3 linked regions of the Caenorhabditis elegans genome follow. The protein of the gene in region 2 purifies or fractionates together with the protein of the main gene of each other region. This does not show direct contact. Each region holds a gene or a part of one and is shown on either strand. Other genes may lie near its edges. The genes, in order: mec-4, unc-24 and mec-2.

Evidence for each region.
Region 1: the proteins of unc-24 (region 2) and mec-4 purify together in Caenorhabditis elegans (affinity purification with western blotting, with the first as the bait; one study listed by BioGRID). This does not show direct contact.
Region 3: the proteins of unc-24 (region 2) and mec-2 purify together in Caenorhabditis elegans (affinity purification with western blotting, with the first as the bait; one study listed by BioGRID). This does not show direct contact.

Annotation. Positions count from the first base shown.
Region 1 is NC_003284.9:16,800,710-16,812,009, forward strand, and holds mec-4 (Degenerin mec-4), read right to left. Parts: upstream 6,407-11,300; 5' UTR 6,406-6,406; coding exon 6,223-6,405; intron 5,863-6,222; coding exon 5,607-5,862; intron 5,560-5,606; coding exon 5,197-5,559; intron 5,145-5,196; coding exon 5,033-5,144; intron 4,817-5,032; coding exon 4,656-4,816; intron 4,559-4,655; coding exon 4,410-4,558; intron 4,363-4,409; coding exon 4,205-4,362; intron 4,163-4,204; coding exon 4,074-4,162; intron 3,981-4,073; coding exon 3,808-3,980; intron 3,757-3,807; coding exon 3,661-3,756; intron 3,538-3,660; coding exon 3,423-3,537; intron 3,379-3,422; coding exon 3,318-3,378; intron 3,261-3,317; coding exon 3,132-3,260; intron 3,084-3,131; coding exon 3,008-3,083; intron 2,869-3,007; coding exon 2,683-2,868; 3' UTR 2,612-2,682; downstream 1-2,611. Other genes in the region: aak-2 (5'-AMP-activated protein kinase catalytic subunit alpha-2), read left to right, coding at 1-98, 324-429, 519-624, 674-881, 983-1,294, 1,705-1,856, 2,040-2,141; cas-1 (C-CAP/cofactor C-like domain-containing protein), read right to left, coding at 6,968-7,048, 7,094-7,240, 7,452-7,658, 7,723-8,301, 8,396-8,617, 8,756-8,889, 8,990-11,207.
Region 2 is NC_003282.8:7,976,046-7,985,350, reverse strand, and holds unc-24 (Band 7 domain-containing protein), read right to left. Parts: upstream 5,482-9,305; 5' UTR 5,469-5,481; coding exon 5,245-5,468; intron 5,053-5,244; exon of another isoform or gene 5,045-5,052; coding exon 4,969-5,044; intron 4,581-4,968; coding exon 4,485-4,580; intron 4,430-4,484; coding exon 4,280-4,429; intron 4,234-4,279; coding exon 4,069-4,233; intron 4,024-4,068; coding exon 3,403-4,023; 3' UTR 3,340-3,402; downstream 1-3,339. Other genes in the region: mec-17 (Alpha-tubulin N-acetyltransferase 1), read left to right, coding at 653-746, 788-1,034, 1,108-1,337; arf-5 (ADP-ribosylation factor), read right to left, coding at 1,877-1,963, 2,126-2,308, 2,357-2,481, 2,609-2,705, 2,756-2,806; ora-1 (Onchocerca Related Antigen family), read right to left, coding at 6,461-6,619, 6,676-7,062, 7,359-7,448; F57H12.6 (DUF148 domain-containing protein), read left to right, coding at 9,055-9,117, 9,300-9,305.
Region 3 is NC_003284.9:5,571,520-5,581,199, reverse strand, and holds the start of mec-2 (Band 7 domain-containing protein), read right to left. Parts: upstream 5,232-9,680; coding exon 5,010-5,231; intron 4,954-5,009; coding exon 4,854-4,953; intron 3,255-4,853; exon of another isoform or gene 3,200-3,254; intron 1,664-3,199; exon of another isoform or gene 1,607-1,663; coding exon of another isoform or gene 1,486-1,606; intron 1-1,485. UniProt on the Caenorhabditis elegans protein: Subunit of an amiloride-sensitive cation channel (degenerin channel complex) permeable for sodium, potassium, lithium and N-methylglucamine, and required for mechanosensory transduction (touch sensitivity).

The sequences.
Region 1 (11,300 bases), on a different chromosome or scaffold from region 2:
TGATGTATGGTCGTGTGGAGTCATTTTGTATGCACTTCTTTGTGGAACCCTGCCATTTGATGATGAGCACGTGCCAAGTCTTTTCAGAAAAATTAAATGTACGTTAGTGTGACATGAGAATCAAAACACAAAAATGGCAAAGGATTACGACAACATACCAATTTCATTTAGACATATGAAAGCGAAATGGGATTTGAAAATTGAAATATCCCTATTACAAAAGGCACTATTACTATGTTTTGGCGCACTGCCCGGGTGATAAATGTTTGAAATTTAAATTGGAATCATTAAAAATTATAACGTTCACGAAATATGTTTTTTAGCTGGCGTATTCCCAACTCCAGACTTTCTGGAGCGCCCAATTGTAAATCTGCTTCACCATATGCTCTGCGTAGACCCGATGAAGAGGGCCACCATCAAGGACGTCATGTAAGTGGTCTTCTAAAAAGAAAAAAAAAACAAACATCGTTGCTATGAGACGCCAAGGAAACAAGACAATAACTGCTTTATATTTTCAGTGCTCACGAGTGGTTCCAGAAGGATTTGCCGAACTACTTGTTCCCACCAATCAACGAGAGTGAGGCTTCCATTGTTGATATTGAGGCTGTCCGAGAGGTCACTGAGGTATTAATCGTGTTCGATAGGAGCAGAAGTTTCTAATCACAATGAAAAGTTTCAGCGCTATCATGTCGCCGAAGAGGAAGTCACCTCAGCATTGCTGGGAGATGATCCACATCACCATTTGTCGATTGCATATAACTTGATTGTTGATAACAAGAGAATTGCCGATGAGACTGCCAAGTTGTCAATTGAGGAGTTTTATCAAGTGACGCCGAATAAGGGACCTGGACCAGTTCATCGCCATCCAGAGCGCATTGCAGGTAGGAGAGGGTGCATAGAAAAACTCTTGGTGGCAAAGAATAATAAAACTTTTGCATCGAACATGAAATTCGTAAAACAATATCTAAATCTTCAATTTCAGCGTCAGTCAGCAGCAAGATCACACCAACTCTCGACAACACGGAAGCCAGTGGCGCGAACCGCAACAAACGTGCCAAGTGGCATCTGGGTATCCGATCCCAAAGTCGTCCGGAAGACATCATGTTCGAGGTGTTCCGTGCGATGAAGCAGCTGGACATGGAGTGGAAGGTGCTCAACCCATATCATGTGATTGTTCGTCGCAAGCCTGATGCACCCGCTGCCGACCCGCCAAAGATGTCGTTGCAGTTGTACCAAGTGGATCAGAGAAGTTACTTGTTGGATTTCAAGAGTTTGGCCGACGAGGAGTCTGGATGTAAGGGTTTTCTTTGTTTAGATTGAACTTTTTGAAAGTGGAACCTGTTTAAAATATTTAGTTAATCGTTCTAGAAAATACTAGAAAATACAAGTTAGTGCATTTTTTTAAACTAAAATCACAATTTGAATTTGAAAAGCCGTAGAATAATATTTTGCAATGGTCTCTGAACATGCCCCTCTATAACCTAAGTTTCTGCATGTAGTCTAGCTTAACGTGTCACAATAATTTTGTTCAGAAATGTTTAAAACGAAGTTTGCTTTGCAGTTGGAAAAATAAAAAGGTCAATGGAAATTCTTTTTCAATAGCGTCAAGTCTTCTCAAGACGATTTTTTTTGTATGCATTTTTTCCTAATGGGTCAAATGAATATATAATTTCCACCTCAACCAATATTCATTAAAAATTTCAGCCGCCAGTGCATCTTCATCCCGACACGCATCAATGTCTATGCCGCAGAAGCCGGCCGGAATTCGTGGAACTAGAACGTCAAGCATGCCACAGGCGATGAGTATGGAGGCGAGTATTGAGAAAATGGAAGTGCATGATTTTTCGGACATGTCGGTGAGAATTAATATTTTTCTTTTATTTCAATATTTTTATTGTGAAGTATTACAAATAACTGGAATTGTATTTGGAGTGGTTGATATAGTTATAGGTTTTTTAAAAATCTTCGAGTGACAAGAAGTTGATGCCACTACCTTTAAATAATTAACGCACTAATTTTCAATGACCGAGTATTTTCAGTGCGATGTGACACCACCACCATCTCCTGGAGGAGCTAAGCTTTCCCAGACTATGCAATTCTTTGAGATTTGCGCCGCATTGATTGGAACACTGGCTCGTTAAGCACTCCTTGATGCCAACAATGCTCTGTGTAAAATTCAACTTTTCTGTCTCAAAATTTATTTCTTCCATTCCTTGTATTAAGCTTGAAACCCCCGTTTCTTATATTGGTTCACTTTGTTGCAGCTTACAGTATCTTTGTATTTTTTTTCTTGACTCTGTTTGGTTTTGCCCCTCCCCCCTTCACCTCCGTAAATGCCACGTATTTTAATTGATGCTATTCTAGTGCCGCTTTCATTTTCAGCCAATTTTGACAAGTAACCATACAAATAATTATTTAAAGTTATGACTTGACTTGTCACCCCCTTTGTTTCTGTGAATAGATTTTCCTTCAGCGAGTGATTGTTTCTGTTTTTTATATGTTTCTCTTCAGTAGTTTTTTTTTCTGTCTTTTAAACTCCCCTTCTCCTACTTCTTTGTGTCTATTGTAAGTAAAATATTAATTGAATAATTTCCTACCCAAAATTATTCAATTATTCTCATGTAAATTTTTATTTTAAGACACAACATTGCAATGGTAACTTTAAAACAAGAAAAAACAAATTCAGAAAGATCCAGACGCAATTTTCTTTGCCTTCTCAGCCTTCTTCTTTTTGTACAGAGAGTAGTTATGTTCGGCACTCATGTAGGCAGTTTCCAAGAAAAGGAACACAAATTCGCAACAGGTAAGGAAGGATATTCCGCACCAAAGACCGAGTTGTCCACCAAAATCGGCTAGCAAGTTGACAAACTAGAAATAGTTGAGATAAATTTTTTGGAATAAAAATAAATTTTTTTTTGCCTGCTCGCTAGTAGTAATTCGGCATTTTTTCGAATTTTTTTGATACATTTCTTTGATACACGTTCTTTGCCTAAATTTTTCAACTCACCCCATAAGCCTCTGATTCAGTGAGCATTTCAAAATTCAACTGCTCGTAGAACACTTCCACCATTGCTCCGTTCTCTCTCAAATAGGCCCAATTTTAAAGTGTGTTTTTTCTTGAATTAACTTACTTATAATGCTTATTACACTCTACCGCTGTACCATTACACGATCCTAGTTGAATTTGCAAAGATAACGACGGCCACTTTGCCGGCGAGTATGTAACGGAGTAGATTGACTGGCGGCATGGTTGTTGGCATCTTAAAATTGAAATTGCAGTTTTTTATTTAAAAAGTATATAACAATTCAAAAGTTACCTGCAACGGAAAGATCCGTGTAGGCCTCCCAAGTCATTCATTCTGGCGTCAAGACATTTTCCTGCAGAAAAAAATATTTATGGAGATGTCAAATTTGAAACTAACTTGCAATAGGGTCTGCTGCATCGCAATGCCGTGCATTTTCAGGGACTGGGAAACGTGGATCTCCACATCTGCACTCTTTCAGCACGAGTTGTTGGAAGCAAGAACGGTAGCAGCCCTGGAATAGTTCCCTCTGTTATCATATTAAGTTCTATATTTAATTGCTATTTTAACAAGAATCACAAAGTTTCTATGACCCATTTTTCCTACTAAACTTGCTTAAATTCTGTTTACTATTCACCTCTACCGAATATTCATAATTGCTGTAAATATAGTCCGATGTTTTGCCATCTGGCACACAATCTCCATAAGGTGCTGGCAAACGTGACATCTTTCGCTGAAAACAACAACACCATTACTCTATAAAAAGAGTTTGAATTTCTAATACCAATCGTAATCCAAATGAGGATACATATCCAGTTGGAGCAGAATAACCGAACGTATCAGGAAATGGGAAATCTTCTTTGTCATGAATAGTCAAACGAACGCCTGTGGCTTCCGTGGTTGGCATATAGTCAGACGCGTTTACATAAACCAGCATACGTAATCCGTACATGGGACCTGGAATCGGAACACGTTTTTTGGTTTATACATAACGGACTTCAAAAATTATTTTAGAAAAAAATATGTGGAAAAAATTTTGAGGAAACTAACCTGCTCGAATACTAGTCAAGTTTACTGTTCGATTATGATTGAAGGTAAAGCACGAACCAAACGCAGGGTCAATATGAGTCAGAAAATCTCTGAATAATTGAATTTATATCATATCTGAAAGCCTAACTAACGCTTCGATATCACACGCTTTTCCGTTAAACGAGCACTTGTGGACAAGTTCCCTTTTTGTAGTACTTAGCCGTTCCCTATCTTGCATTGACAAGGTAGCCATTGCAAACATGATGTTTTCCTTGGCTTTAGTGACAATTGCAACTTCATCTGTCATTCCCTGAAACTTTTCAGTTTCCACTTGATTTATATATTTGTGATTGTTACCTGAAATCCCATAGCTTCAAGGAAGTTTGGATCTTCAGTTGGAGTTCCTCCTTGAAGATATGTCCAAATTTCAATTGGTGGCGTCTTTCCGTTGTATGCTACACAGAATCTAGATGGAGCACAAATACATGGGGATCTATGGCCCTTCGCTGAAAAATTCCGATTTAGAAAAAAACAACAATAAAAATTAAGAAGAGTAAAATCAAACAAGTGAAGCTAGTTTGGCAAAGTGATTGAAAAACCTACCAGTTTTGTTATCTTTGGTGCAGAAAGCATGTTCATTGCAAGTATCACATTCGGTGGTTTCCCAGGTTCCGTTCAGAAAACAGGGCCACGCATCATGAGTTGATCTATCGAAAGCGCAAATACACCGATCGTCAAATCCCGTCGGCTCGTCGAATTTTGTTCTGAACGAGAAAAAAGATTTGTGGAGAACATTTCGAAACGTCTCATTATGAACTTCTGTATTTTGGAACCATATGAATTTCAAATTTATGGAAGGCAAAATTGAGCCTTCTCAAAAATTGGACTTATCAAAATGGACAAACTTTACCGTACCTCAAAATTGTAAGACTAGACTTTTTCAAACACTTTTTTGTCAAAGTTGTTAGACTAGACTTTACCTCTCTGATTGACATTCTTCCATCATATTCATTCCAGTAGTTGCTTCCACATCGTAATTCTCATAATGCTCATTGTCATATTCTTCCATTCCATCCCATTCCTCATCGGCATCTGTGTTCAAAAGAATGTTTTACGCGATGCTCATTTGACATGCAACACTCACCATTAATATTAAATACCTTTTTGGTAGTTGTTTCAAGTAACTCTTCCTCCTTCTCCTCATCCTTATCCTCTTGCTCACTAGACCCTTGGCTTCCACAAAGGCATCTTGCAAATCCTGGCTCAAAAAATGCTCCAGATAAATCACGTTTTCCTCGACGACGTGCCGGTTTTGTGGTGGGTGCAGGGGTGGTGGGTGGTTCGGTGACAACTTCGCGTTCCTCTTCGTGATCTTTGTTTCCTCCGGCTTTTCCCATTGCTCCATCAAATGCTGACAACGTTCGCTTTACTAAATCCACGCTTGTTGCTAAACTTGCTTTGTAAGGATTCAAATTACAAAGCGTAATTGCTGGAAAAGGTGCAGTGTCTGGAAATAAAAAAGCTCAGTAAGGAGCACATGATTTTTCAAACTACCAAATTTCAATTGAATATCGACAATTTTCTCATTCCTGTTGTATTTGTCAAGCACAGATTGAGCATTAAGATAGAGCATTATCATACATCCAAGAAAAAGTACGACCCAAACTGCTCGATAATATACGTTTGGAGCTTCACCAATCATGGGAATTCCGTGAGCAGATGTTTTGTAGCAAAACTCTTTGAAATGCCAGGCTAGACGTTTGTCATAGGGTAGCAATTTTGGATCGAATTCTCCCGTAATAAGTTCACACTGAAATTCGGAAATGTTAGATTACTCAGCTGCGACTTTTTGCAAGTTTTATTTTTTTTACCGTTTATTGAACATTTTAAGCGTTTTGATTATATTGTTCCAAAACAAAAAATCTTGGTTTTTAATTTTGGTACAGTTTTGCAGATAAGCTATCAAAGTAAAATAAACAAGTTGATTCAGCAAAAACTTAGTAGTTATAAAGACAAAATACTTATCGAAGAATTAAGAAAATACGGGCCTTCAAATTTACAGTTGAAAAACTTCAATGTATATAACGAATATTTCAAAAACTGGGAACAAAATACAATTGCATACAAAAATAAAATTTACCGTTGCAATTTGAAAATTACGTAAACTCACTTGTACTTCTGATTCTGTAGAGTTGAAACATTCGCCATAACCAAAATCTTCATAATATTCTCTTTCTGTCACAAATTTAGTCGTCTCTTGTAAGTACGCTAACGGGTCTCCATAAACCTGGGACATGTACTCGGATGGGTCCCGAAGGTGTTGGTAGTTTTTCAGGTTTTGCATCCATGACATTCTATAACTTGATAGCGATAAAAAAAATAGCATTAGCAAACTGATACTCTAAGAAAAATGAAGGAGGGGTAGTCGCTGACGACAATGATCTTGCTCATGTCTTCACATGGTTCCATTACATTATAAATGTATAGAATAGTAGATTGTTTCATACTTGTAGAATGAGAAGAAAGCTGATGGTTTTGAGGCAAGATAAGATCCATGAAAGTGTGTTGAAATGTGCCTGGTGTTTGAGATGTTCTGGTGAGGGTGGAAATGTATTTGAACATTCTGGAATTTTTTTTACACTACATTCGGTGCAATTGTTCTACGATCACAAACCTTCAAACATGAATAACTATTTTTTGGAAGGGATCACTTTTATTCGACGAGACAGTAAAAAGTAATTTTTTCAATAAAAATAGTTGAGCACCAGTCAATGCATATACAAAACAAAATCGGTATTATTTAATAAAGCAAAGTGTGTCTCAATTGCTTATAAAGAATTGTAGACAGGGACAAATAAAAAAGTTCGAGGGGATAGTTCATGAAGTTGAAAAATAAGGTTATGACGTGAGAAGATTTAGCAAATGTCCGAGACGACAGTGACTAGCTTGCCATTGACAAAAGTTGTCTTGAACTGCTCCGGAACCGGGAACTCCGACTGAAAAGGAAATTTAGATTGGGTTCTACAATCCGAAAAACTTACATAATCCCCATCATCATTGGTTTGCACGGAGATGTTCATCTCACTGGATTTGGAAGTGACAATCTCGCATCCTTGAGCCACCTTTGACAAGTACACCTGGCATCCATCAGTCTTCTGGATTGAAAGAGTTGGGAGCTCTCCAAGGGTCTAAAAATTAATAACAATAATAGATTCAGTGAATTTCGAAGCATATAGTTGACTGAACTTTATTAGTAATTTGGAAGATTTTAACGATTAAAACCAAATATTTATTTTCACATTTTTTATTTAGAAACTAATTTTATGTTCAGACGGAAAAAAAATAGTATTGTATTTGAGCTTGTATTGAAGCTTGTACAACTAAAAGTCTTCTGATTACCTGAATTTGCACAGATTGGCAGTTGACAGTTTCGCACTGAGCCACAAGGGCATCAAACACAACAGACGTTTTCTTGCACCCGTCCAAAGTAATAGAATTGGCCTTTCCGTTGACCTTAATCACAGAATTCTCACAACGGTAGATATAGACAGTCTGCTTCTTATCGGCAACATCGAGAACAATGTTTGGATCGTTGACAAAGTACTCCTGTAAATAGTTTTTCATTGATAATGCTTATTGAATATGTTTTTCAAGTTGTTGAAACACTTACCACAATCCATTGTTTTCCGTTTTCCAGCTCCTTGTGTGGTGGCTTCCTTACTGGAGCAGCTGGTTTGGCAGGAGATGAGCCGCCCTGAGAAGCACCAGCGGCTGGCACAACAGCGGTTCCTCGGAGGTTTGGGTTCTTGTGAGTCTGCATATCGGCCGTGACCTTCTTCAGTCTAGAAGTAACTCCCTCTCCCTGGTTCAACGAAGCAAAGAGAGCATCACGGCTTGCCTTGTCAGCATCTACTGGTGGCGGAGCAATGTTGGCGAAGAAGTCGGCTGGTGGTGGTGGAGGTGGTGGGGGTGGTCCTCCTGGACCTGCTGGAGCTTTTGGAGCTGATGGAGCAGCGGCAGATGGAGCAGAGGCAGAAGCATCAGGGGCGGCTCCTGGAGCGCTGTTCCAGACTAGACCAGTAGTGTGAACTTGACGAACAAACTTCTGCATCTCTTCAAATACAGCCTTCCAAGCCTTGGTCCACTCAACGTGTCTTGGATCGGTCTCCTTGAACTCGCGGAGAATTGGGTTGATGTAGAATTGAGCAGCCTCAATGAACTCCTTCACGTATGGAGCTGGGGTTTTCTTCTGAAATTAGAAGCAGTTTAGAAAATATGTATGTTAAGATTATCGAATCTTGAGCACAGTAATATTTTATTTCAACTTTTGAATGTTAACATACCACGGTCACCCATCCAAGAGCCGGAAGTGCTTCAGCCACCGAATTGAGATGGTTCCAGTGAGGGGTCTTTCTCTTCGTGTCCTTGAAATTGTTGATTTCACCAAGCAAGTTAATAACTGGAGTGAGCATCTTCTGAGCTTCCTCGGCCGATGGCTCCGATTTTCCAGCAGCAGACCATAAATAGTTGCGCATACTGGCAAACATAGCCAACACTTTTGGCTTCTGAAATATTTGTTTTACGATGTTAAACTCTTATTCTATGTTGGGTAATTTGGATAAAGATAAGGAATTATAATAGATTAGTGCAATTTTTTATTTATTTTTGTTTTAATCAATACAAAACATCATTTGAACACTCACCACAGCAGCAAGATCGCCGCCGAGTTGATCTGTCAACTTGCTCCAATTGGCCAGTGGCTCCTCGATGGCATCATCGTAAGCACGAACATGAGCTGGGACTTCTCCAGAGTCACCGGCAGAAGCGGCAGCAGACGCTGAAAACATTAACTTTATTTTAATTAATTCAAAAGTATCGAACCGGTTTGCTTATTTCTAGAATTTTTAGTTTTGAATTTACAATTTACTAAGTTTTACCTTTATTCTGATCTATAAATACAACTTTCTTTGAAGAACTCCGATGAAGTGACGGATTTTTGATAAGAATCCCGTGCAAATTGTCGCCGTATAAGTTTCTGTGTCGTCCCGTTTTTTCATTGTCTCGTAGATACCTCGGAAGCGCACGACGTGCCATTTCCTCAATATCCAGATCACTGTCGTTATCGTTGTCGTAGTTCGAATTTGGTGAAAAAGTTGAAGTCGGTGAAAACGTTGGGTTTGAGTAGTGAGATGTTGGTTTCACCGAATGTACATTATTATTCCCGTTGCTATGCCCGTGACCATGTCCGAAATGAGGTTTGTTGTATGGCATCGGGTCGGATGGCATGTGAACATTGATATTCGGCTCAATGATAGCCACTGGTGGTTGAGACGAGTCACGTCGATTTCTCGAATCGAAATCATCGGTGTGACTATTATACGTGTGACGGTTACTCGTGAAGCCATTAATTACAGTTGGACCCGATCGATTAAACACTTTTGACTCAACTGGACTGAAAATTCGCTCTGGATTCTGATTTTGATTCTGCGCCTGTGGCGGATGATATGGTTGAGGGGCAACCTCACGAATTGGGGAAGTGAGTCTGGCGAAATCACGAAGTGGTGATTGAATCCTAGCACGTTGAGATTGTTGAATGGGCTGATGTGGCTGGGGATAATGGGGCTCTTCGGGCATTTGATGATGATGATATTGGTCTTGTACCTGCTGATGAGGATGAATCCGGAGTACACGATCATTTGTCAATTTTATTGGTTCATTAGGGAACGCTGCCGAATTACGATTCGACTCCAAATACTGACTGGTTGGCCGCTCTTTCTCTCGGAAATTTACCGCTGCTGCGGCTGGAACATTCTGGTAGACATTTGTTGTTGCTTCTTTCGGCGCTTGTGCCACTCGCCGGTCTTGATACCCGCCTGTTGATACTCTTGATGAATGATCTTCTTGGTTATAGTTGACTTGATTTATCGGGTTTGGGAACGAAAAAGGATTCGATTGTTGGGCATATGAGATGATTGGAGGCGATCTTACAGGGCTCGGATCTCGTTGTTGCATGAAATTGGACGAAGAGCGTTGATACCGAGGATTAGGCTGTTCCTGAGTCGGTTCATCGTTGTGATAGCTCCGAAAGTTGGGTTGCTCAGACACCAAGGAATTACCTCTAGGCTCACGATAAGTAGGCTCTAACCGAAAGCGTTCAAAATCCGAGTTCAAATTTGAATTGAGAGGTGCATTTCTGATAATGTAATCCTCCCGGAACGATTTTGGCGGTGGTGGGTCAGTCATCCAGTTTGGCTCAATCACTCGGTTTCGGAAAAATCCATCCAATCGATGACCTTGATTACCATTCGTGCTTGCCGTGTAGTTATTAATAGAATTATGAAGTTGACCAGAGCTATTATTATGACTATCAACAGTAGAATGATTGAGGAAGGTGTTACTTGGAGTATGATTTGAGGTGTTATTGAAATAAGTGTTGTTGAGAGAGTCAAACGACAAATCCGATTGGGTTTTTGCTAATCGTCTTGGCGGATGGTGATCCGATGAATTAGAATTATAGTGTTGTGGAGACGGAAGAGTGCCAAAATCTGTCTGACGAGACGACTGATCCCCTGCATACCAGCTCGAAGACATATTGTGTGCTTCGGCTTTCTGACGTTGCAGATTTCTCAAAAAATCTGTTTCTCGTTGGGAAGGCGACGGATGCGTCGGCTGCTTGTATGATTGGGGTGGTGGCACATTGTCATAACCTCGGGGTGGAGCATCTTGAAATGCTGGAACTGGACTTTGGACACTTCGATGACCGTACATACTTGCTGGTTGAGGATTGTTACAGTACTCACTGGCCACTGACAAAGGAGATAGCTCACGTGGAGAGAAGTTATTGTCGAATAGAGTAGAATTGCTTTCCGATCGTATTGGCCGACGAGATCTTGGAGGTTCTTCAGCTGTCCAATAATTAGTATTGCGGTCGACAGGGGATGTTGGAGAAACGGGCGAAACGCATGAGGATGGAAAATGTGGAAGGGTCGCTGACCGCTGGTCAATGACAACTTGTTGAGGGAACGACGACCAACTGCTTGACGGACGTAGTCCGCCTCCGAAACTTCTCAAATCTTGGGTACTATCGGTTACCGGTCTGTAGCCACGTGGATACTTGTTGAAGGGTCTGGGAGCCGAGTAATAAAGTGAATCCATAGTGGAAGTGGGGGGAGACGAGGAGAAATAAAATTGCAATGCAAAAAAAAAATGAAGAGAGTATGCTAGAACATTAAGGTGTTTGGGGATGAA
Region 2 (9,305 bases):
GAGATATTGGGTATTTTATTATTATCTAGACGTCAAAAAATACGAATTTTCGCCCTATCTTACGTGCATGGGACTGCCATGCTGACAACGAGCTACTGTAATCCCACTATCATTTACTATATATAAATCGCTTATTCCGTTTGCCCATAGTTTGTAGTCTATGTAGTCTTTGTAGTCTGCGAAGTTTTAGCTTCTGGAGGGATGGTGAGTTGGGGTTAGTGTAAGGATATAGTCGGGGTACTGTAGTGGTACAATAGTGGTACGGTAGGAGTACTGTATGATTACGGTAGTTTCAGAAAAATTTGTTTTCAGCTCCAGAAGTCGGGGGCCGCGCCGAAGGTGCGGTCCACGGCTGGTTGTATCATATTCTTTTTTAAAATCTTGGCAGCACTTTTCATTTTGAAATTTTAATGCAATCATAATAAATAGACACGAATTACAGTCCCTCGTTCTCAGCGTGGCGAGACCCATGAGCGTAAGATATGATAAAAATTATAATTTTTAGACGTCCACGTAATAATCCTTATAATAATACTACCTACCATTAGATCCATTGATCGACCTAGTAATGTAATATTTGATACATAATAGGCGCCTTTTATCGAAACGCTGTATTAATATTTTTTGGAAATTGGAAATTTTGATTTTTCAGAGAAGAGAAGGTTAGTCGACTCATGGGATTCGCGAAAGTAGGAAGAAAGAAGTTATTCCTTTATGACTCTCAAATGCAGACTTATGAGGGAGAGGTGAATTGAATTATCATTTCATTCGACCTCTTACTTTTCAGATTCTGTGTCTTCTGGACTTTTATGTTCACTTCTCATGTCAACGCCAAGGAGTTGGACAACAAATTCTAGATTACATGTTCTCTCAGGAACACACTGAACCTTATCAATTGGCTCTTGATAATCCATCAGTCACTCTTCTTGGTTTTATGTCACAAAAGTACGGACTTATCAAGCCTGTATGGCAGAATACCAATTTCGTTGTTTTCGAGGAGCTCTTCCTAGCTTTGTCGGCTGAAAATGGAATCGGTAATTTTAGTAGAATAGTATTTTGACCACAAAAATTCTAACTTCACTGAAATTAAACTATTGGACGTTTCAGAAAAACCTCCACCAGATGGTTGGCGTCGTCCAATGACTCCACGTCGATTGGGAACTGGAATGACTGATACCCGTTGGCTTCAACACGCTGTTAGTGGTCATCAGAGCAAGGGAAATGCAATGGCTGCTCCGGTGGATGCTGACATGACACCACAAGGTGCTTTGAGCAATAGAGCTCATCAGGCCAAGGCAAGAAAAGCTCACATTCTGTCGAGCAAGCCATTGTGGTGATTCGGATGTGGACATTGAAGTTATTTTCAGCTTTTAATTACTTTATGCAATTTTGTGCCATCTGTTTAATCTCGCTCTCATGCTTTTTTTGGAATTCGAAATTTATTAAACTTAGCGTTCTTTCCGATAAATAAAAATGAACATCCACCACACTTACATGTTTTTATAAAATATTATTCATCAACACCCTCAAATAAATTAAACTGTTGCGATGAAGTGGACCAGCCATCGATTGCTCTCCGACTAGTTCACAGTGGTGGTTTCGGAGAGTTTGACCAAAAAAGACGGCCAAATATCACATAAATTAGGACAGGGCTCGGGCCGATTTGAAGTTGGGGGGACGGAGAGAGAGAGAGAGATGGGTACCAATAACACACAGAAAATAGAAGCTCCCAGTGCCATCAAACAATCAAATTCTATTTAACAAAATTAAAACGGCTGCGTGGATTATTGTGGCTGTTGGTTAAGAATATTTTAATGGGGGAAAGGGATTTACACATTTTGGAGGAGAAGGGAATTTGGACATGTAAGTTGTGCAATTAGGTCTTGGAAAGCTGGTTGGATAGCCAGTCAAGTCCTTCGTAGAGTCCATGTCCTTGAGTTGCACATGTAGCTTGGATGTACCACTGAAAATTTTTCATTTACATTATAAATTTGGAAACAATTTTATTTATTCCGTGAGTGGACAATCTTTTATTCGATCAGATTAATACGCTTGTCCGGTTTCAAATTTTGATCGTCTATGCAGATAAGACTAAACAGAGAACGGAATCTCGAATACCACTCACCTGTCTTGAGCGGAGATTGTGAAGTCCAAGCTTGTCGGTCAATTCGGCGGCGGTCATAGCATTTGGAAGATCCTGCTTGTTGGCGAAAACGAGAAGAGTAGCGTCACGAAGTTCGTCCTCGTTCAGCATCTTATGTAGCTCTTCACGTGATTCTTCAATACGCTCCTTGTCGTTCGAGTCAACCTTAATTTTTAAAATATTTTAGATTTATAAATCGATTCGAATACTTACGACGAAGATAAGTCCTTGTGTGTTTTGGAAATAGTGCCTCCAGAGTGGACGGATCTTGTCCTGACCTCCGACATCCCACACAGTGAAGGAAATGTTCTTGTATTCAACAGTTTCAACATTGAATCCTGTAATATCAGATTATTAATTTTTACGAATTATGAAATACTGAAAAACACACATATTATAGAACTTGCGACTCTTTTGCAATAACCATTGATTCGAAAAATGCAAATATTTTCCTGAAATACTTACCGATAGTTGGGATCGTGGTGACGATCTCTCCAAGCTTGAGTTTGTAGAGGATCGTAGTTTTTCCGGCAGCATCGAGTCCGACCATCAATATACGAACCTTAAAATTAACACATTAAAACTGTGAGATTAAGCATTACAAAAACATACCTGTCTCTTGCCAAAAAGGCGATTGAAGAGGGAGGAGATTGTTAAACCCATAATGGAGCTGATTCAACACCTGAAATTATATAATTTAAAACAAATTTCCAGTTAGAATTTAAAAAAAACGATAGTAAAAGAAAAATACATAACACTCCAAAGCATGTGACACGTTCATTCAAAAAACAATTATTTTGTTCGTCTTTATAGCCATTTTAAAGCTTTTTTACAAGAAATATATCCATTTCAAACATTAAATATTTTGAAAATTTATTAATAATGATGAAAATCCAGAAAATTTGGTAAAAATCGGCAATAGCAACGTCGATTTGCTGGATGTCGTCCAGCCAGCCACACACGTGTAATTTCGATTAGTCGATCGTGGCGAGACCCGTCAGCCAGAAAACGCGCCCTCCCTTGAAGAATGCATTTATTTCTCGATGAGATCTCTCGATTTGGCCGCTTATTCGTCGCACAAAAGCCTGTTTTGTACAATTTTAAGTGACTGGATGTATTTTAGATAATATTACTTTAAAAACAAAACATTCCTGTACAAAATAATATCTGAAAGACAAGAAAATATAGTGTAAATCTTTAAATTAAAAAAAAAACATTTATTAAAGAGAAAAAAGAGAACAGAAAATGAGTATATTTTCTTAAAGCCAATCTGACATTCGCTCCACCAAGTGTTTTAGCTGCATTGCGTCCTGAATACTTCCTTTCACTTTTAAGTTTCCGTTCATATATACAGTGACTGGAGATACTTCCTTTGTTAGAATTTTTCCAAATACTTCCAAACTCGTTTCAAAAACCACGTCAGGATTTAAGGAAGTTCCTTTATACGCACTTCCAGATCCATGTTTCAAATCAATGCAAATGGGCTCAATATCTTTGCAATTAATTTGGAAAACTCTGCCAATTAGACGGACTAAGTGTTCATCCATAGCTAGGCTTGCCACAGATATAAGATGGTCGATATCAATGGAAGGAATATTTGGTGTATCTGTAGAAGTTCCCGCAGCTGAAGTTGAGGGAACATCCGACAAATCAACTAATGGTGCATTTTCTTTTGCTTTCTCTTCAGCTGCACATTCCTTTGCAAAGTCTTCGAATACTGGTCCAATAACTTGCCACAACTGTTGACCAGCATCGGATTTCGCAACGCTGCTCAACGCAGACATCCCCATGTTCTCTCCTTCCTTCACAATTTTCACATCGGAAATTTCCACGTCAGTGATTTCAACTCCGAATTGACACGTAAATGATCCCAGCTCATCCTTCAAATTAGCAGAAATTATTCTTCGATCTTGTGAGCTGGTTACATCACAGATCCGTTTCTTGCTGATATATCTGTATAGCATTGTATTTGCCAATGTTCGAACTGATGCATTTCTATCTTGAACTCCACAAACAGCTGCAATTGGATCTCTAATTTTTAGAAAAACAGTTGCCCCGAGTTCCACGAGACCACGATCTGTGGTTATTATCTGTAAATTAAAATTTTTTTTTAGACAAAATATTGTCAAGGCTAACCTGGAGTGGTGGGACATTGAACGCAGTAATAGACATTGTTACTTTATGTGTTGTATCTATACATGGAATAACTAAAGTTATACCAGGTCCTCTTGTCTTCTGAGCTCTTCCCAGGCGTAAAACTACCAATTTCTCACTGGTAGAGATGAACTGAAAAATTAAGCAAATTTTGAGAAACGGTTCTCTAGAAAATTATAATTACTACCTTTAACGCGAAAAGCAATGATAAGGGCATTGTCATCACAACAAACAAAAATGAAACACAGAAGATCAACAGTTCAATGGCGCTCAGGGGTTTTATCTGAAAAAAAACATGTTTAAGATATCATAAGTATATTTTAATTAAATTGTCTCGTGTGTGTTTCAATTAGTTTAGATATTTCCATTTTTGTTAAGGTTTCTATTTTGCCAAAATCTGCAAAAAATGTATGCTTTTTAAGAAATTTAGAGTACTGTTGCTTGTTCAAATGCCTACAATGCTCAGATGGAAAAAAATCATAGTAATTGTAGAACATTTTTTGGCGAATTTCAACAACCGAGTAATTTCAACTTTTTTATTTACTGAAAATAAAAATATTTCAAAAAAACCAATTCAAAGTTTTACTATCAAATAATTTCCTAAATGGCTCAATTTCACATTAAGTTTTGATAAAGAAAACCAAAATTTAATTTATTAAATAAAAACTCACATCGTCTTCCATATTAACACCATAATCTCTTGTGTATGTGAAGTTTCCGTATTTATTTCCCAGCATCATTCCTTGCCTGAAAAATTATTGAATAGTGATTCTTATTGTTCATATGCATGTTGTAAAACACTTTTATGAAAATTAAGTTAATCGCTAAATTATAATTCTTAAAATATTTAATAAAACTTTAATTCCATTTTAACTGAAAGATAACATTGGAAAATTTTAATTTTTCATCTATATCAAAGTTAATTAGTTTTTTTGTTGAAAAATTACCTTGCTGGACCCATATATCCCATTTTATCGAGATCGTTGTAAGGAGCATATGTAAAAACGGAATCATATGAACCTTCAGGCATTCCATATTCCATTACACTTTGACTTGGATCACCAAAATCGACTGCAGAATATCCTTCAAGACTGTTCATTTCTAATTCTTCTGGTGCCTCTGGATCGTTTTGCGCCAGCGCCGAATATTTGTACGAAGAAGAGAACGTCATATTGAATGGAGCAAGAGAAAGATGAAGTAGTTGTGTGAGAAAGAGACGAAGAGCTCTAACACTGAGCATCTGCTTTAGTCGTTTCGAATGTCTGCGTCTCTGGCGTCCGGGACCACACATCGATTCTTTGGCTCCGTGAGCACAAATGCATTTATTTTTGCATTTGAGAGGACGGATGACATTGGATAGAAGAGTGTCCCAAAAGACTCATACACAGATAATGGTAGGGTGTCTGTCACACATTACAAACCAAGAATACGATGAGAAAATTTAGGGGTTAGGTTGGAAATTGTTGAAGTCAAAATTGAAGACTTTGTAATTTAAATTTTTTTAAAGGTAGGCGGTAGTGTTTTATTTACATGAAAAAGTGTATGCACACAGTTTTAATCTATTATAGTTTTGGAAGTCAACAAGTATGTTCTACGAGTTTTACATTTTAATTAAATTCTCAAGGTAAAGTATTGGCGGTGCACCGCGCGGTGGGGAAAACTTTAAAACCACTCCTATCGTGCTAAAATGAACAAATATCATAGTAAAACTTTTCAAAAATTGAAATTATTTCACAGTCTGAATATGGTAGAAACTCAGTTGTACCTGCCAACGTTTTGGAAGTCGACCAAAAAAAGTAGCTTTTTTGAAATTTGTATTTACACATTGTAGGTTTAAGTTTGGAGCAATTCTTGAGTTTTAGCTCAAAAATTCAAACACTTTGGAAAATTTGGAAATTTATCAAAACCATGTTTTAAACATTTGAAAATTTAAAAATTCAGAATGTTTTTCGCCCAATTTACGTATATTTTAATAATATCTTTACTATTCCATCTTTAGATTTGGGAACCAATTATTATTTGTACACAAAAGTTTTTATAGAAATCTTTATTATTCAATCTTAAATATATGTATTTTTCAATATAAATTAAAAGTGATCGGGAAATCGGGAATGAATAAAATTCTGTCATAGATATTTACAAAAATCGCTGTCAAATTATCGTCTAGTGATGTCTTGGTGGTCCATGAGGACGGCTCTTCCACAAATCGAAAAGCTCATCCTTCACGTTCTCATCAAGTTCTTCGAGGATTGCAAACTTTTGTTTTCCGAGAGCTTCAAGCTTCTCGTTGGCTACCTTGGCAGCTGCGGAGAGCTTCGATTCCTGAAAGAATGATATTCAACATCCTTTTGAGTAAAAATCTTTTTTTTTATTCTTACCTTGTCTTTGTACTCTTGCATTTCCTTCTCCTTTTTCTCTTTGAATTCTTGGAATTTCTTCAAGTTATCTCCAGTAAGAACTTCTTGAGCGAGAGCATCAATCTTCTCTGGCTTCTCACTGAATGGGATTGACTTATCCTTGAAAATAGCATCAAACTTGGCAAGGATGTCCTTTGGAAGTCCACGAAGGAATGGAAGTGGTGGTCTCTTGTGAATGCTCTTACGAACATCCTTTGGAAGAGATTCCATGATTTCACGAGTTAATCCTTGTTCTTCATAACACTTGTCTCCTTCTTTGTAATCTTTCCAGATTTCAGTTATCTTGGTTTGAACATCAGAAGGAAGATCCTCAAGGAATGGTGGAAGTCCGCATGGTGGTGGTGGACGCTGGAATGTTTGTAGTTTGAGACGGAGTTTTATATGGCTATTAAAATAGGAAATACAGTTCATTAATTTGCACTTAGCGGCTGATTAAAGTAGAAACTTCTATGAAATTTCTTGAGCATAAAACGAAATTTAAATTTAGGTTGGATTTTTCAATTTCGAATATTTGAATTTTGGTAAAATGTATGTAGCATTTAAAAAATTAAACCTTAAATTAAACCAAAAAATTAAACCTAAAATAAAAGCTTTTTTAAATTGTCAGAATTTTTGGAAATTAAAAAAAAAGAAGAAAAACTTACACCTCCACATCTTCCGAAGCAAGGCTTAGCTTCAGATACAATAGTCAAAAGAAGAAGAGCAGCTGAGATTTTAAAGATATTAGAAATCATTGTTGAATGATGTCCTTTTCATCCAAATTCTTGTCCTTTTATACCATTCAGAAACCGAACCCTTCGCCAAACAGTGCTCTGTACTCAAACATACCCCCTTTCTCCGATTTTGATGCTGATCTCAGCGGTTGTTGTTGTTTTGGAAGGCGCCGCCCATTTTTCCGTTCGGTACATATCATTTTTTGCCGTTCGAAGAAAAATACACTCGACAAAAGAAAGGAGATAACAGCTATTCACTTTCATTATGACAACTTGCTGATGATGTCATTCATTTTAAAGATTCGACGAAGACCAAAGAAGATTTGAATGACTGTGTGGTCAATTTTGTAATAGTTCAGTTTCATCTAAGAAGATCATCACCAGTTCTACAGAAAGAACAAGTTGATAGAAATTGAAACAAGAATCATTTTTTGAATTCAATTGAACTTTGATGATCAACGTGCAGTGTATGCCAACAAGAAAAATGTGTTGAAAGTGACATTGAAAAGTTATTGATAATGAACAAACTTTAAAAAATATAGTGAAACAAAAAACACAATTGACTTTAATGTATTTTCATTTACATAACATGTTCTACCCTGTCTAAAAACTACGGTTGTTGGAGAAGCGCCACTTGGGATTTTGTCAAAATATTCTAAAAATGAAACATGAAAAATTGGTCGAATATCTGAATTGAACAGTATAAAATATTTTGTATTGTTAAAATGTTAAATTTATATTAAAAGTTTCAGTCTCAGCAAATTGCTTTGATTTGGCTAAAACAATGGGAATTGAATGTGATTTGAACAAAGAATGAAATGGTTTGGAAAAGGTTTGGTGAGAAACTGGAAAATGAAATATTCGAGATAAAATACACCAACAGCATTTAGAAATTAATCCTCAAATGTTCAATGTGATTGTAGAATTTGCATCAATCGAAACATGTTTTTCTGTAAACAAAAAATGTTCAATTTGTGTCTTATTAGTTATCAATTTTTATATTATAGGTCAACCAATATCTCCAGGCGTTTGGCGCCAACCTAGCAAATCAACCCAAAAAGATAATAATCTGGTTGAAAACTTGGAAAGTCTTTGGTAAAGCTTGTGCAGGATTTGGATAAGCCTCTGTTATCAATTCTGGCCAATCTTTTCCGAATATTGGCAAAAGCTCGATGAAAAGACAACCTGGACATTTTGAGCACAATCTTCCAATGCCAAGTGTGCGCCAAACAGCGGGAAAAGAGAGCAAGATCAGTTGGAAATGTTCTGCTTTCAGATTAGAAACTATATAATTTACCTGACTCCGATGTCTCTTGATAAGTTCAATTTAAAATGAGGGAACTACTTTTAAACTTGATGTTTCTTTCAAATGATTTATTTTCTTCTGACTTCTTCCACTATCTTCAAAATGTTTTAATTCAAAAAAACACTCCACACATCTTCAGTTGTCAACCTTTTCCAAACCCACACACAACGATGACCAAATCAAAAGATCTGTTCCAAATGAATTTATCATTATTCTTCATCTCATTCTATGTCTACGCCTCCAATGTTATTGTATTCGCCGAGACGGTAAATTGGGTATAAAATCTCCAACTCTTGATATTGAAGTCAGTCATCTTCAGCCATGAAGATTCTTTTCGCTATTCTACTAGCTATTGTTTCAGTTCAGGCAAAGCCTGGAGGAAGAGTAAGTTTTATTTCTATTCAATTTATGCGCTGTTTTTTGTTTTTTCTAGCTAGACATTGAAAAATAAATGTTTTGAACTTGAGAATGAAAGATTCCGAAATCTTTATCGGATGAAAGTGTAGAATAGCTTTTAGGCCTTTACAGTCTTGCGATCCTTTCAATTATCAACGAATTTTTTCCAGAGATCT
Region 3 (9,680 bases), on a different chromosome or scaffold from region 2:
ATTTTTTTTTTGCATATGTGGGGGGGGGGGGGTTTGTTAACAAAATTTAGAAAAAACTGAGAAAGTTTTTAACAATCACATTTTTGCTGCAAAAAGGCAAGAATCAAAGAACATTGGTTCAAAAACGAGGGTGAAAATCTTGTTCTCGTCAAGGTGATATTGAAGATTAGCGGATTCCATTTCAATAAAGGAATGCACAAAAACAAAAACATCTTGAAAATGAGGCAAGAGATTATCCAGATGAGTAACATTAGTTGCGGATGACTAGAAGATGTTTGACTTCAAAAATAGTAGTATCTTAGTTTCTTTTTCTATATTTACATGTTGGCAGGAAACAGCAAGAAACTAGGTAAAGTGGAGATTATTAAGGGATTTCGATAAGACGTAGATATTTATTGTGGACCTATGGACAGCAGTGAAAAAATGAAATGTGATGTGAACACGATATTTTACAATTTTTGCGTAAAAAATTCGGTTTGGTACCCGCAAAAAGTGTGAGCATTCAAATTGTATACTGTACATCCAAGAGCTTGTGTCTGCGTAACCTTTTTAAATAAATTTTCTGCCGTATTTTTTGCGGTTTGTTAAGATGATGTGTTTTTTTTAAGGCACACACTTTTTTGCATTTAACAATAAAGGCTTGTCAAAAGACAATACGGACTGGATAATACAAGAAACAAACGTTTAGTAGCGTATGTGAACCGTCTTAACACTATGGCCAAAAATTGCACACAGTGTGCACAATGTGCACATTGTACACAGTGTAGATAGCCAATAAGGTGCGAGGAGGGCGAATGAAGAGGCGTAGAAAAGGCGCCCTTGTGTCGCCCCGACAACACGGAATGTATTATAGTGATGTATTTCAAGCTTGTTACTAACAAACTGAATTTAAAAAATGATATACGATAGCCACCTTATGGCGGAAATATACTGATCATGGGTTATTTTTTACATTTACATTTTTATTTTTGAATGCATTGCTTATCACTCACCTTTTTGCATAGCTTGAACTATTCAGAAAAACAATAAAACAAAAATTTACTTGGCATACAACGATACATAGCAATCATTTACAAGATTCACACATGTTTTGGTTTTGTTTGAATTTAGTTTTTTTTTTTCATTTCTAAGAATCCTGGGGGTGAAGCCTAACCAGTACCAGATTTTTTCCCATTCGCCGGATCGTCTCTGCGTCGCATATGGATAATAGGTGTAAAGAAAATCTCTTGGTAGAGCATTTTGGAAAAAGTTTGAAATTTTGTTCTAATGATGTAGAAAATGTGTAGAGGAAATCAAATTGAAAACAAAACAAAGTTATTGAAAAATGGGTTAGCTGGGAGTTAGACACAACGTAAGAGATGGGGAAACTCCTGGACCTTTGGGACTTGTCAACGTCTTTTTAAATTGGGCAAAGGGCAACTTGAAACAATAGACTATTATTTTGTTTTATTTTCTCGTGTGGGTGGAAGGAAAATCTTCTCTTACCTCCCAGTGGCTCGGTCGGTGGTCTTTTCACATCAGTGTGAATACGTGGGATATACGGGGAGAATTTGAATTCGCGAGGTGGTGGAACGGAAAACTTTCGTTCGGCCGGATCGTCATACATTATTTTTTACAAGTATTGAATCGTTGAGGACGGTGTTCCAGAATCCATGTACACGGAATGAAATGAGCTATATTAAGTCTTGAGAAGGGTTAGCGAGGATCGTTGCATAAATATAAAAACAAACTGAGAAATATGAAGAATGAGCTCAACAAAAAGAAAAAAACGACTAAATAAAACGAGAAAGACAAGCATCCTCATTCGAAAAAAAAAACCTAATAACAATCATACAAAAAACAATACACCAAATAGTGTCAGTGATAGTGGGCACTAATGGTGTGTATATATTAGAATCTCATTGTGATTTTTGAGATTTATTCTCTCTCTCCAATCTAAACTTCACGAAAATAAGCAAAATAAATTTTTATCCAGATGAGATCTGAATTGTGTAAACAAATGATCCATTTGATCCTTTCCTTAAACTACAACTAATAAAACAAGATTGACTGATTTATAACTTGTTTTCCTGTCGAAAAACACTAGTCAGAGGGAAAACTATTTAAAATCACTTAAACTATGCTAAAATTACCAAATATCGTGGTAAAATTTTTTAAAAACATTTTTTAACATTTTGCAGTCGAAAAATGGTGAAAAATCACCATAATGTTTGGAAGTTGACCAGAAAAATTTTTTCTACATAAAATGTTTTAATCGTGTTTTGATAATTTGATGTATGCTTATTTTGAGGAACTACTGAAAAAAAAAGTTTAGGAAAATATATGAGGAAAACTATTGGCAACTTATGGGGTTAACTGTGAAGCCATTTTCCATTTTGAGAAACAAACGTTTTCTGAGAAAGCATTGCTTTTTTACTGAAATTTCGAAATTTAGAGATTTGCATTTATAACGAATGGCCTAAATTGGTTGTGTTGAGAAAACGAAAAAAGAGCAGGTAGACTTTAAAACCACACCAATGTTGCATATCTGCTTCATGCCTAATTCCATTGTGTGGAATCAAGAAAGAATAGGACGAAAGCACTTTTATGTTTAATTAAAGATTTTTCAGACATAAAGGCCAAAAAAGAGAGAAAATTACGTTTTCTCGATGATTGCACTCAGAGTAAACATTGAACAACTAGAGAAAGCGTAAAAATTTAAGAGGGAATGCTTAAATTCTTCGAACCGAAAATTTTTGTTTAAGAAGACGAAGCTCATAGTGTGACTAACTTCTTCTGACTATGTTTTTGTTGCTTTTTTTGGTTGCAGTGTTCTCTACTGTGATAAACTCTTTCACTCTTCCAAATTACTTTTCTTGTAGAAAACTTTAACAAAACAAAAAATGTGAAAAACATCGTTTCTAAAATGAGATTTTTGTTATGCCTTACTTCGACGACAGGAACAATAAAAAACTTAAAAATAATTTGTCTTTTCTCAGAATTCTTAAAGTCAATCTTTTTGAACGGGTTATTTTTTAATTTTGTGCTAAAGAAAATAAAAACTGAATTTTGTTACAAAACAGCCGCCAAAAATATTTTAAAAATAAAGGCAGACCGAGAACGTGCATAATATTCAAAATGATATGTCAAGAACACCGTTTGTTTTTTATTTATATTTTTTCTTCAAACAACACCCAAACTTTCAGAAAAAGGGAACAGGAAAAAAAGAGTCCCGCGACAAAAACCGACTAAGTTGAAAAACATACAAATAACCGAGGCCCGAAAGAGAGGCTATTTTCCAGAGGCAATATACATCTGGCTTATGAAAGCGAGAAAGAAAAATGAGGTGCGTAAACTACTTTCAGACATAAACTCCTGACAGGGAGGGGTTCGGGAACAGACAGAAGACGAAACAAACAAGTAGAATTCTCATTTACTTAGCGACTGCTTATCTGCTAAATATGTCTATTATTTTTGTCGTCAGTCGGGTACCTCGTGGTGAGCTGGAACGCTGGGAAATACTAAAAACTGAAAACTGCGAAAATATGTGGAAAACACCGGTGCGAGCAGGATAATAAAAGGGAAGTTCACGATAATTTGAAAGAATGACACTTAAAAGGAACGTCTAACCGGTGCTGCCATTTTTTATAAGTAGTAAACAATCGTACTGATATTCAATTACTATTAATGAGTCGGTAAATTTGCTGTTTTCAACCAGATTCGAGAATCGTTGAGTTCAACGTAGTTAATTGTTAATTCACCTTAAGCCTTAAGCTTAAGAAAGTCTGTTGCTATTTTTTTTGTTTTGTAGGAACGACAAACGCGTAATGTTACAACATCTCCAATTTCTTCAATATATAGTTTCTAGTTATTAGTACTGATTTCTTAATTTTCGTTTATAAGATTTAAGAACTCAGTTATATCAAACAACTCAACTTGCTACAAGAAAAAAAACAAAGGAAAACCAGAATTGGAGGTGTTACAACTAGTAATCAGAATTTGTTATTGAATTTCATCATGAGAATTGGCGAAGCACGACGACATGTATACGACAAGAAATAGAGATCAGAAAAAAACAGGATCATTGAAAATTATGAGCCAGCCTGTGTTGAACTTGACTGTTAAAAATAATGAATTTTCATATTATGTAGAAGTCGAAAGGTGAGAAACTTTGCCGTATTCTATGTAGGCGCTTGGGTCTCGCCAAACAAGGGATTTTTAGCATTTTCAAAATGTAGCATGAACTCAGAAATCGCCACTTTTTGACTGTCTATAAAACATTTTCAAAAACTGAAACGTTTTATTATTATATTTGGTTGGTTTTTATTTACCAGTAGTATTTCACAATTCCACTGGCGCATTCAAACGTTTAAATGATAAAGAATATTACCGAAGTATATATAACCAGAAACTTGTGAGACAAATCGGTACCAAGGTTAACTCGAATTACATTTAAGCATTACTTGTCGGCTAACCGCATTTCCTCTATTTGTATTGCACTTCACTGTTTTATTTTGAAAAATTAAATTTAGGTTCATTGTGAGAATACCACTAAATGATTAACTACAGAACAATGAAAATAGAAACAACACAGCATTCGTCATTTGACTTTTTTTCAAAGATATAACAAAGGACAACTAAGATATGACCCAATAAAATACTGTATTTTACATCAGTTTTCAGAAATTTAAATAATTGAATAAGTTGTTAAAGCTTTAACAACAGCGTGTCACAATTTTAAACAATTTCGAACATTTTTTTAGAGTAAAGCAGCATTTTGAACCTTAAAGTTGTCACTTAACAAATGAAAGCACGAGTTTCTACATATGTATGACTAATTCAATCAAATAAGTGACAAAGATTGTAGTTTCTACCTTTTTCCTCTTTTCCATTTCCTTTCTCCACATCCTTTTCAGCTTGCTTTTCTTTTTTCACCGAGTCATCGTCGCTGTTGGCCGAGATGATTGATGTACTCTACAGCGGAAACAAATACGATAATCCGGAAACCAAAAAATTTAATAGACACACACCTCTTCAAGTTGCTGTAAAGTCCTGGTCGCCATATTCTCAACTTCGTCCGATGACGTTGATAAGAGATCATCGTCTTTGGAGCTGGATGATGGGAGCATGGCGCCCTCCTGTTGAATACTAGAGCTCCGTTCGTTGCTAACCAATCGAGTCTCGACCTTGACAGAGCCGTTTGAAGATAGTGAAACGACCGAATTGCGAGCTGATGACATTGTGGCGCTCATAGATTGAATGTGTGGGCATTCAGTCACAGACTACTGGGACACGATTCACGAATGACACATAAACACTCGGCGAATAGTGGGATGTACTCTCGAATGTATGGATTTCGTTGAGCAAGCCGGGCTCACACCCCAAAAAGAAGACGACTCTGCTCCAATTGGTATATGACGTCCCTGATTACAAATGCAAAGAAAACAGTTAGGGGTAACAGTGCAGCGAAGAACTTGCTACTAGCCTATTGTCTCTGGCGTGACTTGTCCATTGTAATGCAAGAGTTTCGAGAACATTTTCGTTTTGGGATCTTGAAGTTGCCAGAAACTTGAATAGTAGGACTTATATGCATATGTTAGGTCGGACTTTAGAATAGTAGTTTCTTGGGAAAAAGGTCAGGCGGGAAAAGGCGAATGGAAACAGTGAACGGGAAACCTGGGAAGCTGAAAATTTTCTTGAAAATCGAAACGCTTCGAAGCCGTAAATTAATTTCAAATGATATAGTTTTAAATAACTATTATTAGAAATACATTTAATCATGAGATACATAATGGTGGCTGAAATAACTCTTCTGTAACTCTTCTGAAACTCTCAACACTCTCTAAATTTGTAATTAAAAGTAGTCCACGTTTCTTATCAGATTCCTCACGTTAACGCAATTTGTTTATGAAAATTCCTAACTTTCAATGTTACCTCTTGGGGAAAACTATGATAATTTTAGGTTGTATGAAATTAAAGAAAATGGGTCAAAGGGACAGAGTGCTGTAAAAAACTCTTTAAAAAATGATTATGCAATTATCCAAATTCTTTATGATTTTTAAATTTGCAACAAAAAATGGTTTTAAAAAATTTGATACATTTTTGGATGATACGACCTACTTTTAAAAATGTGTTCTAAAATATAAATGTATGATTGGATTGAAGGCGGAAAATGGAAAATAAATTTTAAAGTTTAAAAAACCCAAAAATAAACATACAGCTTAATTTCCACAATTTCCAAAACTCAATTCAAAATAAAGATAGAAATAAAATGTATCGAAGAAATGTTTTGTTTTAATTTTAGAGTATAAGTTTGTTTTACTATGATATTTAGCCATAACATTTTAATAACCCCTATTTTCAAAACAAACAACTATTTACGAAACGTATTTTTTTGCATATGGTCCTTTTTTGACAACTGTTATCAAAATTGTCAGTATACCCTTTTTTGTTAGTTCGAATTTTCCATATTTCTTACTTTGTATTATATTTCTTATTCATGAATTCCTCGTGTAAAAAATTAAACTAGACACACAATTTACAACATCTAGTCCTTTACGATTCACTGCATTTTCATTAAATGCTCTTTTTCACTCCTCCTCCTCCTGACTATATCCTCCTCCTTCTGACTTCTTGTTGTATTGTTTATATGTTTCCCACGCCATCGTCAAGAATAACTTTCGAAAAAAGACACAAAGATGGATTATGTGAAACTTGAGATTTTTTCATTATATTTTTAAGTATCATAAAACCATTGGGAGTGTTTTGAGAAACAACTATGACGAATGCACAAAGCCATTTGAACTAGCCGTTTTCATCTTCAGATTGGTTGCGAATTCTCGTTTTTTTTTGTTTTGAACACACTCCAGTTGTTGCTAACTGAGAGTGCGGAAACGTGTCATTCCGGTGTGAAGCGTTTTTTTTGCAAATACACATAACGTATGGAAGATGTATTTCATGTGTGTATGTGTTATGAAAAAAGGATGCACACCAATTGAATCAACCTTGTCGTTGCGGGGGCTTATTGAAAAAGTTGAAAGTACTTGAAGTATCTGACAATTTTGCAAAATGGGAAACATAACGTTAACACTCTTTGGGTGGACGCTTTTAGGTGCTCTCAGGAATTTCGAGCTCTCGTCTCACTTTTCCTAGCCCTCATTAACTCATTCTTCCTTTTCTTCTCAACACACAGATTTCCGACTTTGCCTCGAAAGCGACTTCTATGGCCATCACGCAATCAAGAATAGCAGAAGCTTACTCTGCATTAAAAGTAAGAGTGTAAGTGAATGTCGAGCGAGGATTTGATGAATAAAACAGACTTTCTTCTTGACAGCCTAACTTTACTCGTTTTTTATGTTCTGCTCGCATTTTTTTCGAAAATGTTCGCGGCGGAAAGGATAAGAAGAATAAGTGGATATGCCGAATTTATAATCAGAATTCTCAAAGAGGGGCTTTCTTTTAAACTTTTCTTCCCCTTTCTCTTATGTGTTTCCCATCACCGAACACGGAGCTTTGCAGCAAAAGTTACTCAGAACCCACTTCCAAATTCCATAGAATATGATTCATGGGATTTTAGAGACGGAAGGAGTGGCTAAGAAAAGATTTGGTTAACGAGCTGCCAATTTGGATGGGTAATGACTGGTTAGATTTTGTTTTCCCAAAAGTTCTCAAAATAAGCAATTACGAAGGGAAGGGATGTCTTCAAAAATTGGCTTAATCAACATTATATGAACTAAACATTTTGTTTTCTTTTGACTGTTCAAACAAATGTTACTGCAGATCGGAATTCGTATATAATTTGGAAATTTGATTATAGGGTCTGATCATAGTATCAAACCACATTACATTTATAATATTATTTAGATTAGTTTAATTTAAATAACAGAGTGAAATGCGAAAAACAAGATACAGAAATATCACTTACCTGATAACAAATCAATGCGTTGCCCGGAAAATTTGCCGATCAACTGTGCAGCTTCGAAAATACTAGGTGGAGTTGGCTTTTTCGGATTCCTCCTGCTATCTGCCATTTCGGCCATTCGCTCCCGAATGCTTCGCTTCCGGCTCATCGAGGATTCTGATGGGGCGTGGAGACTGGACGCTGCTGATAATGCTGATAGTTTGCGATGCGATCCGGCGCTCGAGCACTCGTCCAGTAGGCAACTGCCCACGTCAAGATTCGACTCCATAATTATACAAAGTTAATTCAAGATAAAATGAGGGAAGATGCGAATAATAGATAAATATAGATAACTGGGATTGGAAATTGCACAACTACGGAGATGGTAGTTAGCGGGAGTTGTAGGACAGAAGGTGTCCAAAGATGAGTTATTGAGGCTCCGCCTGCGCTGTGTCACACTCTCGCGCGCCCGAGCACACGTTTCTTAGCGCTGAGGGGTGGAGCCGAATCGGCTAATGGCTCAATTCGCACCCCGAGAGCAATTGGTGCATTGCCGCAAAGACAAGAACGGATGTATAGGAAGCTGTTTTTCGGGGCGCGCGCCGTTGACTGACTTGAGCCTCCTCATCTCTCCCGGACCAATTAATTAATTTGTTGAATTTTTCGGCGGCGACGCATCTCTCACTATTTTGTCGTTTGAGACGCGAGGTGGGTGGCCTTTTTTGAGAAAAAAACGCGTAGGAAAAGTGAGGAACGCCTATTTTTGGGGGAAAATTTGAGGAGGAACATCATCTGTTTTGAAAGTAAAAAATAAACAAAACGATATGATCCTTTGGGAGTTCATGAGCAATGTGGAATAAATGAAGTAAGCAGATCAAAACGAGGATTTCTAGATTTGCAAATTTTTTTGGAGCACATAAACTTTTGATAGTATTTGTGTAGACTGTAGCCAAAAATGTATCAAATGATTTTTCTAAGCCTAGAAATGATGAAAAAAGTATAATAAGTAATTGTGTAGAAGCTGTACCTAAAAAGCTGGAAAATATTAATCTTTATAATAATAAACTACTAAATACTTGTTTTACGTAATACATACTATTTTCAATTTAAAGTACTCAAATTATTATTTCTGAACCAAAAATACAAAAAGAATTCACCTTTTGATTTTTATAAATTTAACAAAATGTTGGTACTTCGGGCGCAGCAAAAAACAAATTTCAAGTGTTGAATAAAATTGAGTTTTTTGTTTTAAAACGTTTTAGGAATACATATACCACGCAAGTGACAATAAGTTTTCAAAATTCTAGCAATTAGGACTCTTAAAACAAATCCTATATTAGGAATATTGAGCTGCACCAGATGGTCAAAAAGCAGCCGTTTTGGAGCCAGCCGTCCTCAAATAGTAAACAGCCTCTGGTCCTTTTTTCATGGAATTAAAGAGTCACAATGTGCTGTCCGAAATTATTGAAATTTATGCATTTCTTTTAAATAATGGTCCAAACCAAGCGCAATCGTTGGATAAAAATTAATCATACTAAACAATATTTGATATGAATCTAAAAAAGTGCGTCCTCAGGAAATGAGCTTAAGCTGTAGTTGGGCTTCTTCTCTCTTCCATCAGTGTTCATTCATAATAACCACCGAGAATCACCTGCTAGGCTTCATCATTTCAAGCCTTCCCATTTGAACTTAAAACTGATTGATACTAGATTCTAATCATCGAAATGGAGTGTTTCCTGGTCTTTTTCTCTGATGTTTCCTAGCCGCTGTACAGACCGAACTACTTTTATTTTATATTGCA